Arabidopsis thaliana: one gene and its partner. The protein of the gene in region 1 interacts with the protein of each later gene in a pairwise test. Each region holds a gene or a part of one and is shown on either strand. Other genes may lie near its edges.

What was found.
Region 2: the proteins of NF-YB1 (region 1) and NF-YC12 interact in binary tests that used the Arabidopsis thaliana proteins (3 or more experiments, as listed by UniProt).

What each region holds. Positions count from the first base shown.
Region 1 is NC_003071.7:16,236,520-16,241,308, forward strand, and holds NF-YB1 (nuclear factor Y, subunit B1), read left to right. Parts: upstream 1-1,972; 5' UTR 1,973-2,066; intron 2,067-2,158; 5' UTR 2,159-2,165; coding exon 2,166-2,365; intron 2,366-3,061; coding exon 3,062-3,195; coding exon of another isoform or gene 3,196-3,323; exon of another isoform or gene 3,324-3,460; coding exon 3,461-3,531; intron 3,532-3,619; coding exon 3,620-3,700; coding exon of another isoform or gene 3,701-3,706; exon of another isoform or gene 3,707-3,788; coding exon 3,789-3,797; 3' UTR 3,798-3,841; exon of another isoform or gene 3,842-4,055; 3' UTR 4,056-4,262; downstream 4,263-4,789. Other genes in the region: AT2G38870 (Serine protease inhibitor, potato inhibitor I-type family protein), read right to left, coding at 27-220, 513-531; AT2G38890 (uncharacterized protein), read left to right, coding at 4,576-4,606, 4,686-4,787. UniProt on the Arabidopsis thaliana protein: Component of the NF-Y/HAP transcription factor complex. The NF-Y complex stimulates the transcription of various genes by recognizing and binding to a CCAAT motif in promoters.
Region 2 is NC_003076.8:15,219,692-15,224,161, reverse strand, and holds NF-YC12 (nuclear factor Y, subunit C12), read left to right. Parts: upstream 1-1,637; 5' UTR 1,638-1,944; intron 1,945-2,058; 5' UTR 2,059-2,136; coding exon 2,137-2,247; intron 2,248-2,329; coding exon 2,330-2,408; intron 2,409-2,506; coding exon 2,507-2,568; intron 2,569-2,813; coding exon 2,814-3,020; intron 3,021-3,094; coding exon 3,095-3,166; intron 3,167-3,268; coding exon 3,269-3,322; intron 3,323-3,782; coding exon 3,783-3,785; 3' UTR 3,786-3,954; downstream 3,955-4,470. UniProt on the Arabidopsis thaliana protein: Stimulates the transcription of various genes by recognizing and binding to a CCAAT motif in promoters.

The sequences.
Region 1 (4,789 bases):
ATTATGAATATAGAAATTATACAAGTCTAGCCGGATTTGGGGGTTTTGACGACGATACGGTTTCCATCAACAAAAACTCTGACCCGGTCGCACCTGAAGTCTGCGGTCACCGGACTCCCATCCAAAATCACGGCAGCATTGACGGTGGGGTTCTCTCTCTCTATCACCACGGCCGCATAGTCACCATTTGTTCCCGTAAGCTCCGGCCACGAGTTCTTCCCTGCGATCACGTTACGTTAGATCGGTCAATCATTTACGTTTGGGATTTTGGAGATCAAGAAGCTCATATTTGAGTAAATGAAAACAAAAGAACTAGAAACATCACCATGGATTGACCATATGTAACATAATTAACCTTCTAACAGACTTTAGAAAATGTAATCATATATGTTATAGCTATTGAATTACAATTTTAAATGCCTTGAATCCATATCTAATTGAACATTAGCTAACTATTTACAAACATATAAAACTTTAATTATGAACTATACAATACAAATACAAAAACTTACTAGGACATTCGGTCGACATTTTTCTTCACTCTTGTATATATTTATGTAGTCTTCTGATGTATTTGTATGCTCACCTTTAGAGATTTGAGTCCCATTTATAGAATCGGATACGTACGTTACGTCTTGGTGTCGGTGTCGTCGGTGAGGTTGCAGATTCAAAAGTCAAACTTTGACGAAACCAGCTTTTAATAGCCCCTTCGTTGACATTATTAATTTGTTTGGTAAAAGCTTTGACACTTCTGATTTTGTTTTATAAAGCTTTGAAATGTACATATTTATATCACGATGTTCAAACCTTATCGAGAACAAGATAAGGTTTCTAAGGCTAAGATAATGTCGAAATTTGAAAAACAAACGAAGGTGAAAAATATTTCTAGCGTCGACTGAATTCTGTTTGCATGCAAAAAAACGCTTCTGCCAAATTTGGCACTTAGCCGACAAAAATGACCAAACTGTCCTTCATAAAATTCATGTATAAAAATACTATAATCAATTGTTGTCACACACACAAACAACGATAATGTCAATTATGTTGAATTGTTGACGTACATAAAATTTGACAAACAACATCACAACTTAGTCATATAGTTTTTTTTTTGTTCCCGTTTGATAATCTTGTCATATAGTTAATATTCAATTTGATATGTATATACAGTTTAAAACACGTATATACAGTTCAACTTAGTCATAGTTTTTCTTTTGGTCTGTTTAAGATTGGTAAAAGCACGTATCCGGAATAAAGATTTAGGTATTAATTGGTAACAACTCTATATGCGGGTTTCGAACAAAATTACAAAATCACATATTATATGAGACCAAGTCACCATCACACTTAAATATTTGTGGTTGAGAATTAATTAGTGTTTAGTTTTGTGTATGTTTCACACTGCCCAATGTTACAAACTTGTGTGTGTCAAGAAGACGAGGCCGCCTGAAAACAAAACATGTAAGCCCATTGAAACAGACACCAAAAGACATATGGTCTATAAGCCTCTCCTTGTGCTGGAGCTGGACACAAATTCTTTAAGACCGAGGTTTTCAAACGTAGGCCCAAATAAATAGAACCAAATCCAGTTAGAAGCCCAATAAAATGTTAATTACTTATCTTTGTATTTTAATTTTTGTTCTTTAAAGTTTAGGATTTTTTACATAAGTAAAAGAATTTGTTCTTTAGGCACTTTGAATCCACATTGTCGTTGGTATTGTTATTAGAGTATCTTAATTTTCTATGATTTATTTACGTAGATAATTCATTGAAAAATTAAATGAATTTATGTTTAAATTCTCATCTAATTATTATACAATAGATTGAAAAAGTCACCCTTAGTCAAATTGTTCATATAGTTTTCTTAAATTGTCTAATTAATTACCAAATTAATCCTTGTCTGAAAACTTTTACAAAAGCTAATACAGAACAAATACAAAAAAACGTGTAATCATATCATATAAACACCAGTCGCAGCGTTTCGTAGAAAAATTCGATTTCTCTAAAGCCCTAAAACTAAAACGACTATCCCCAATTCCAAGTTCTAGGGTTTCCATCTTCCCCAATCTGTACGCCATTTTCGATTTCCTTTTTTGTTGTTTACTTTAGCTTCATCGACCATGTTTAGGTTTCAAATTGAGTGTTTGTTCTGTTTCTGTAGAGTATAAATGGCGGATACGCCTTCGAGCCCAGCTGGAGATGGCGGAGAAAGCGGCGGTTCCGTTAGGGAGCAGGATCGATACCTTCCTATAGCTAATATCAGCAGGATCATGAAGAAAGCGTTGCCTCCTAATGGTAAGATTGGAAAAGATGCTAAGGATACAGTTCAGGAATGCGTCTCTGAGTTCATCAGCTTCATCACTAGCGAGTATGCATTCCCAATTTTTCTTCTTTCAATCGAATTTGTTGGAAAATATTTTGCTCTTTGGTGAAAAAAATTGATCATTTGTTGGAACTTTGGGTTTGTGAGAGATAGTTTTCTTAAACTAGCTATGGATTGAGTTTAGCTCAGAGAGTTTTTTGAAGTTTATAGAGCAAAGATTATGTTTTTTTTTTTGTCACAATGTTAATCAACCATTGTTTGGTATGGGTTTACCTTAACCTAGTTCCTTTCCTATAGACCATTTTGCAGATTATTTCACATGCTTCTACTGTGTTATATCTTAACTCTGTCAAATAAATTGTTAGATTTTTTTCTTCATTTAACCATCTTAGGGTATAAAAGCCGTATCTTGATCATGTTTCAAAGATTCTTTTATCTTTAGGATCTGTTTGTTTTTGTTCCTTTTTGTTCATTTAAGGCAAAAGATATGTTTTTCATCATGAAGGAATTGCTTGTGTTGAATGCGTTTTAGGTCTCTGATTGATGAGTTTTATGTTTCTTATAACATCAGATGCCCCCGTTCTTTGTTAGGAAGAAATAAGTTATCATGTATGAAACTATGATTTATCTATTGGTTCAAGATAAGCTTGTCTGATGTTGCGCTTAAGTCTCTTTTGCTGGTCTTATGTTGATTCGTTGACTGTAATGGCCAATTGACTGGTATCTGTTTCTGCTAATCAGGGCCAGTGATAAGTGTCAAAAAGAGAAAAGGAAAACTGTGAATGGTGATGATTTGTTGTGGGCAATGGCAACATTAGGATTTGAGGATTACCTGGAACCTCTAAAGATATACCTAGCGAGGTACAGGGAGGTATGTTGCTTTGACTCCCTAATCATGTGTTCTGAAATCCTTAATATCCTAGTCAAGAGATTAGTAGCTGTGAGTAACATCGAAGCTTGCCATGATAGCAGTTTTACAATCCCTTCAATACGTCTTGTGTAGAATTTTTGAAGCAAGAAAGATAAATCTAGACCAACAGTCAGGATGCATATTAGTAAATTTTGAAAGACATTTATTACTCTCTCTTTTGTGCTTTTGTTGTTAACATACATAATAAAATCAAAATGTTTCTTATTAAGTTGAGACTAATTCGGTTCTTTTCATTCCCTGGGATTGGTTGCTGACACACCACCTGCTGATGCAGTTGGAGGTAAATAAACCACATACTTATTTCTACTTTATATTCCATTCCAGTGTTGCCCATTGGCTTCTTACGTTTTGTTGTGAAATTATGATAGGGTGATAATAAGGGATCAGGAAAGAGTGGAGATGGATCAAATAGAGATGCTGGTGGCGGTGTTTCTGGTGAAGAAATGCCGGTATGATTTTGACAAGTATAGATGATACCAATGCTATACAGCCTATATTGTACTTAGCTCTGACTTCATCATTTTGATTCAATCACAGAGCTGGTAAAAGAAGTTGCAAGTAGTGATTAAGAACAATCGCCAAATGATCAAGTAATTCTTCTCTCTATCACACGGCCTCATGTACACAAATGAAGAGCATAGTCTATATGCATGTAGGTTCATATCCAATCTTCACTTCGTTACAACTGATGATAGTAGGACATGCCTTGTAAACTTGCTGATCATGTTATATTTTGCTGTGTGAATGAACTATGGCTAGTTTCAAAATTGTTTGTCTAACGTGAAATTCTCTAAAACGGTGCAGGGGAAATTAGAGATCAGTGAGTTGTTTATAGTTGAGCTGATCGACAACTATTTCGGGTTTACTCTCAATTTCGGTTATGTTAGTTTGAACGTTTGGTTTATTGTTTCCGGTTTAGTTGGTTGTATTTAAAGATTTCTCTGTTAGATGTTGAGAACACTTGAATGAAGGAAAAATTTGTCCACATCCTGTTGTTATTTTCGATTCACTTTCGGAATTTCATAGCTAATTTATTCTCATTTAATACAAAATCCTTAAATTAAATTTGTACAGTACCTTTGTTTTGGGTATAGACAATTACATTTTAAGTCAGTTGATCTGTATCAAATACTACACTTACAAAATCACAAAGTAAAGGCAGCAATTAATTTTGCTTTGAATTGAAAAGCTTTGAGAGAGTAATCAAATGCTTAAATCACGAAAACTTACAAATTTCAAAATTTTGTCTCTCCATAAATTCTCTTAATAAAGGCTGTTGTTTTTCCAATTTGAAAATTCTATTTTTCAAAATCAAGAACAGGCTATGGAATTTCAAGAAGCTGGTTCATCATCAAGTAGAATCATCTTCCTCTGTTTCCTCTCCTATCTAAAATCTCTTTAGTCTTCAGAAACTGATTATACTTTGTGCAGCAGCAAGAGTAAAGATTGACTTTGTGCAGCCGATGGCACACAAAGAGAGCAAATGGAACCATCGCAAAAGCTTGGCCTGGGACACTGCTTTTTCCACCAACCCTGGT
Region 2 (4,470 bases), on another chromosome or scaffold:
AGCTTTTCAAGAAAATGGAGAGGAGAGTTCAGGGGAGAGATAGTAGTAGTATGTCGAGATCAAACCGTTCTTTTGGAAGAGGGAAGTATAGTTTATCGGTTTTGAAAGAAGTGACTGAAGGGAAGAAGGAGGAACTTGCTTCTGTTAAAGTAGAGATCTTCAGGGTCATGACAGTAATGGATGCGTTGAGGAATGAGATTATCCGAGCCAGGGATGAAACAGCTTGCCTTGGAAAAATCTTGAGGGAAGATGATGTTAAGATTGAGAAACTCAACTCAAAGATTCTTATCGAAAAATCGAAGTTGGAAGTGGTATCTATCGCCGAAGAAAGGATTAGCTCTCTTGCTGAGAATTTCGTTGGTTCGCTTGAGAAGATAAAGAAAAGTAGAAATGCTGCAAAGAAAGAGGAGTTCCTTTTCAAAGAAGAGAAGACGGTTACAAAGGCGGAAACACAGAAAACCAAACTTGATATAGATAAAAAGGAAAGCGAACTGAATTCAAAGTTGGATGAGCTTGAAAAAGTGAAGCACACTGAGGCTTTAGTGCTTGAGAAGCTTGAATCTTTAGTAGAAGACATGATGGAGAGTCGCGAAATGGAGTCTGAGCATTGTTCAACAATCACTATCTCGAGGTTTGAGTACGAGTATTTGAGTAAACATGCTTCACAAGCGGAAGAAACCGCAGAGAAGAAAGTTGCAGCAGCAGCGGCGTGGGTGGAAGCACTCAAGGCTAGCACAAAATCGTTTCTGATGAAGACGGAAACTTTGATGAGAGAAAGTGAAATGACGAAAGCGGAAGAAGAGAGAGAAGTGTTTAGGATGGAAAGGTCATTGTCGACGAAGAGATTGGTGGAGGGTGAGATTCAGAAGATTAAGAGGAACTCGGAAGCTGAAGGCTATATTTCTCCCAAACCAGTTGGAAAATTCACACCGGTCCAACGTGGGAAGCCAAGAAGATACTCATCTGTTGGAACTCCAACTTTCTTTGTAATCAAGAAGAAAAAGAAAGTTCCACGCTTGGCCAAGTTCTTCAGTCGCAGAAGTTAAAAACTCAAATCATTTTGACTTCTGCGTTCAATAACAATTGCTAGAATCTCTAAGAAATCTAAATTCTATGAAATGATTCACATTCACATTCTTGTTCTTGTTCATTGTTGTGCATGATCATATAATACATGGAGTAGACTCATTCTAGCATACGATTGGTAACCATTGTTTTCATTGGCTTTCAACATTTATTTGTATGTTGCTGATCTTTATGAATACACTAGGCCAGTTAGAGGAAGAATTTTTCTCCTGGGTCTGTTCTGTCATGAACTTAGAGTTTCTGTATGTAATTTTGGTTATAGTTGTCTGAAAATGTTGATTTCTGGGTACCATGTAGTGCATATGTTTGGTACTGGTTTGACAATGTGTGAGCATAGTTATATGAATTATTTGTTCTATATCTTTTTTGGGTTCATGGTTTGTGGAATCTTAAAGAGCAACAAGATCTAGGGTGTTGGTCACTGTTCGCTATGGTCTGTTTCTGTGAAAGTTGGTGTCTAACTGATACCATAATCAAGAAATAGGATATATTTATTTTTACTAATGTAAATGTTTGTAAAATCGTTTGCTTGTTTTTATGCCATTACATTTCTATCATTTGTGGAAGTTAAGAGTTACCAAAATCAGAACTCAATAAACTTGATGTGGCTTTGATCTAATCCAGGTTTACTTGTGTGACAACTTCATTGATGAGACTGGATCACATTTAGATGAGTTGTGGCATATTGATATCTTTGGGTTCTTGAAATTACATTTAGACTATGTGCTCTTACTATATAGACTGAATTCGGTCATCAGGTTTCTTCTACGCAGCGCGTGGCTTTCACGGAAAAGGTCTGCGAGTGGTTCTTTCGTATGTATGCCTCACGAGCTCCACGAGGTATATCCTTACTAACGTGTGAGTATTAAATGTTTTCCTCTTTATTCCAGAAAAGTTTGTTCACAATCTTTAAAAGGAATCTCTTAGTCATTGGTACACTCTTAAATGACTATTATTACGTTATGATTCTAGCTCCATATATAGAGAACCCTTGTTCTTGCCAAACTCTACATCTTCAAAGATTTTTCATCATCTGTTGTGAAATATAACATGAGGAGGCCAAAGTCATCTCACGTCAGGATGGAACCTGTTGCGCCTCGTTCACATAACACGATGCCAATGCTTGATCAATTTCGATCTAATCATCCTGAAACAAGCAAGGTAAATTTAGTCAGTCCTAGTTCTGTGTTTTTGGCTTAAAGTCTTTTTATGTATGTTTCTTTAACATTTTGGTCTTAAACAGATCGAGGGGGTCTCTTCGTTGGACACAGCTCTGAAGGTGTTTTGGAATAATCAAAGGGAGCAGCTAGGAAACTTTGCAGGTGACTGATATTAAGAGATGTTTAGAGTACCTAAATAGGAAAAAAGAGTGCATTGACACCTAAATGCTAATTCTTCGACTTGTTTTGGTTACCTACAGGCCAAACTCATTTGCCGCTATCTAGGGTCAGAAAGATTTTGAAATCTGATCCTGAAGTCAAGGTATGTGAGGTTAACTTGAATTATGTTGGCTGGTCTAGAGTTTCTGAAATTGCCATTATGATCAAATTTGTTAGTCTGTTGAGTTTTACTGTTAGAATGTTTTAGTGTTGTTTATTTTTACTGTTCCTTTGACATCTTTCTAAGGTTGATATCAATACTTATAGACAAGATATATGTGACATCAAAGATTTGAAGAAATATGTTTGTTATTACAATTTTTTCCTAAGATATATGTGAATTTTCAGAAGATAAGCTGTGATGTTCCTGCTTTGTTTTCGAAAGCCTGTGAATACTTCATTCTAGAGGTAACATTACGAGCTTGGATGCATACTCAATCATGCACTCGTGAGACCATCCGGCGTTGTGATATCTTCCAGGCCGTAAAGAACTCAGGAACTTATGATTTCCTGATTGATCGTGTCCCTTTTGGACCGCACTGTGTCACCCATCAGGTTAGCTCCTTTTCGCAATCTTACTCGTGAAATCAAAAAAATTATGTTTTCATGTGCTAAATCTTTCTGTTCAGGGTGTGCAACCTCCTGCTGAAATGATTTTGCCGGATATGAATGTTCCAATCGATATGGACCAGATTGAGGAGGTGATTATTTTACTTAATAATTGGTATTATCTGAAACAAAGCATTTTAATGCGATGCTAAGTTAGAATTCATGTTCGTTTATTGCATTTGCACCAAAACCAGGAGAATATGATGGAAGAGCGCTCTGTCGGGTTTGACCTCAACTGTGATCTCCAGGTAGTTTTCTTTGAGCTTCTATTCATACAACAATTGCATTAGTGTATAGTTTCTGTTTTGCAAACATTTTAGATTGAGGATGCACTAGTAAACATATTGTTAGAGAACCCATTTAGAAAAGAACTTCATAGTAGCTTCAATTTGAGAGCAATCTTGCTAGCATCATTGTTAGGACTTAACAGATTTGTGCATAGAGACTAACTAGATAGGGGATAAATATATAAAGGTGTATCCAGAGAAATCCATGAGACATTTGGCATTTGCAGTATTTGATTCATTGAAGGATTTCAATTTGATATCTTGTTGTTTTTTGAGTAGTTAGTTGATACTTGTTGATGAATGCGATACCGAGTTAATTTACTTACGGACTGCGAATAGAAAATAAGAAACCATTTGGTTGTTTGTTCCTTAAGATTTATGTTCTTGCTATGGATTTGTACTTGTGGCTTCGGATCTGCAGTGAACATGAAGCTGCTCTGGAAGACAAAAACTTGAAGAAGAGAAGAAATCTGAAGAGGAATCACCCAACAACTCTATGTTATGTTCACCTTATAATAGTTTATCATAAACTCATTCACTAAACTATGTGTATTATTTATTGTTCCTGAATAAAAATACAATGTTTCGGTGTTTCCTCCTAAACCAAAAAAGAATAATACAATGTTTGATATTTTTACTTATGTAATTTATTTTTTTATTTATTTTATTTTGTTTTTTTTGTCATTTGCACGAAAAAGTTTTCTACACATTTTGATGAACACGTTTTAGGTGGATCTATTTTGGTTTCTCTCTTTAATAATGTCCATGGGTGGGGCACAACTCTGTACAACACCATAACTTTTCGTATCCTTAGTTTTGTATGGCCACTCTTTTGCCACTTCGGAATATTTGCCAAAACTAATGTTAACCAAAACTAATGCTTGTCAAATCATATTGTACCGAAAAATGTAAAGTATGGTGCCAAAGTAAGGTTTAACATCAAAGGACACCAAATGATGTCGAGGAAGGATGTAATTAACTAATGGTATGACATGTAAGCAAGAGATATATTTTTCTTCTATATTCTATGAAAATTGTTTACCAAAATATGTTTGTTTTTAAGTATGGACGGTGAAGTAAACGACACTCCGTCATATAAAATCAAAAGT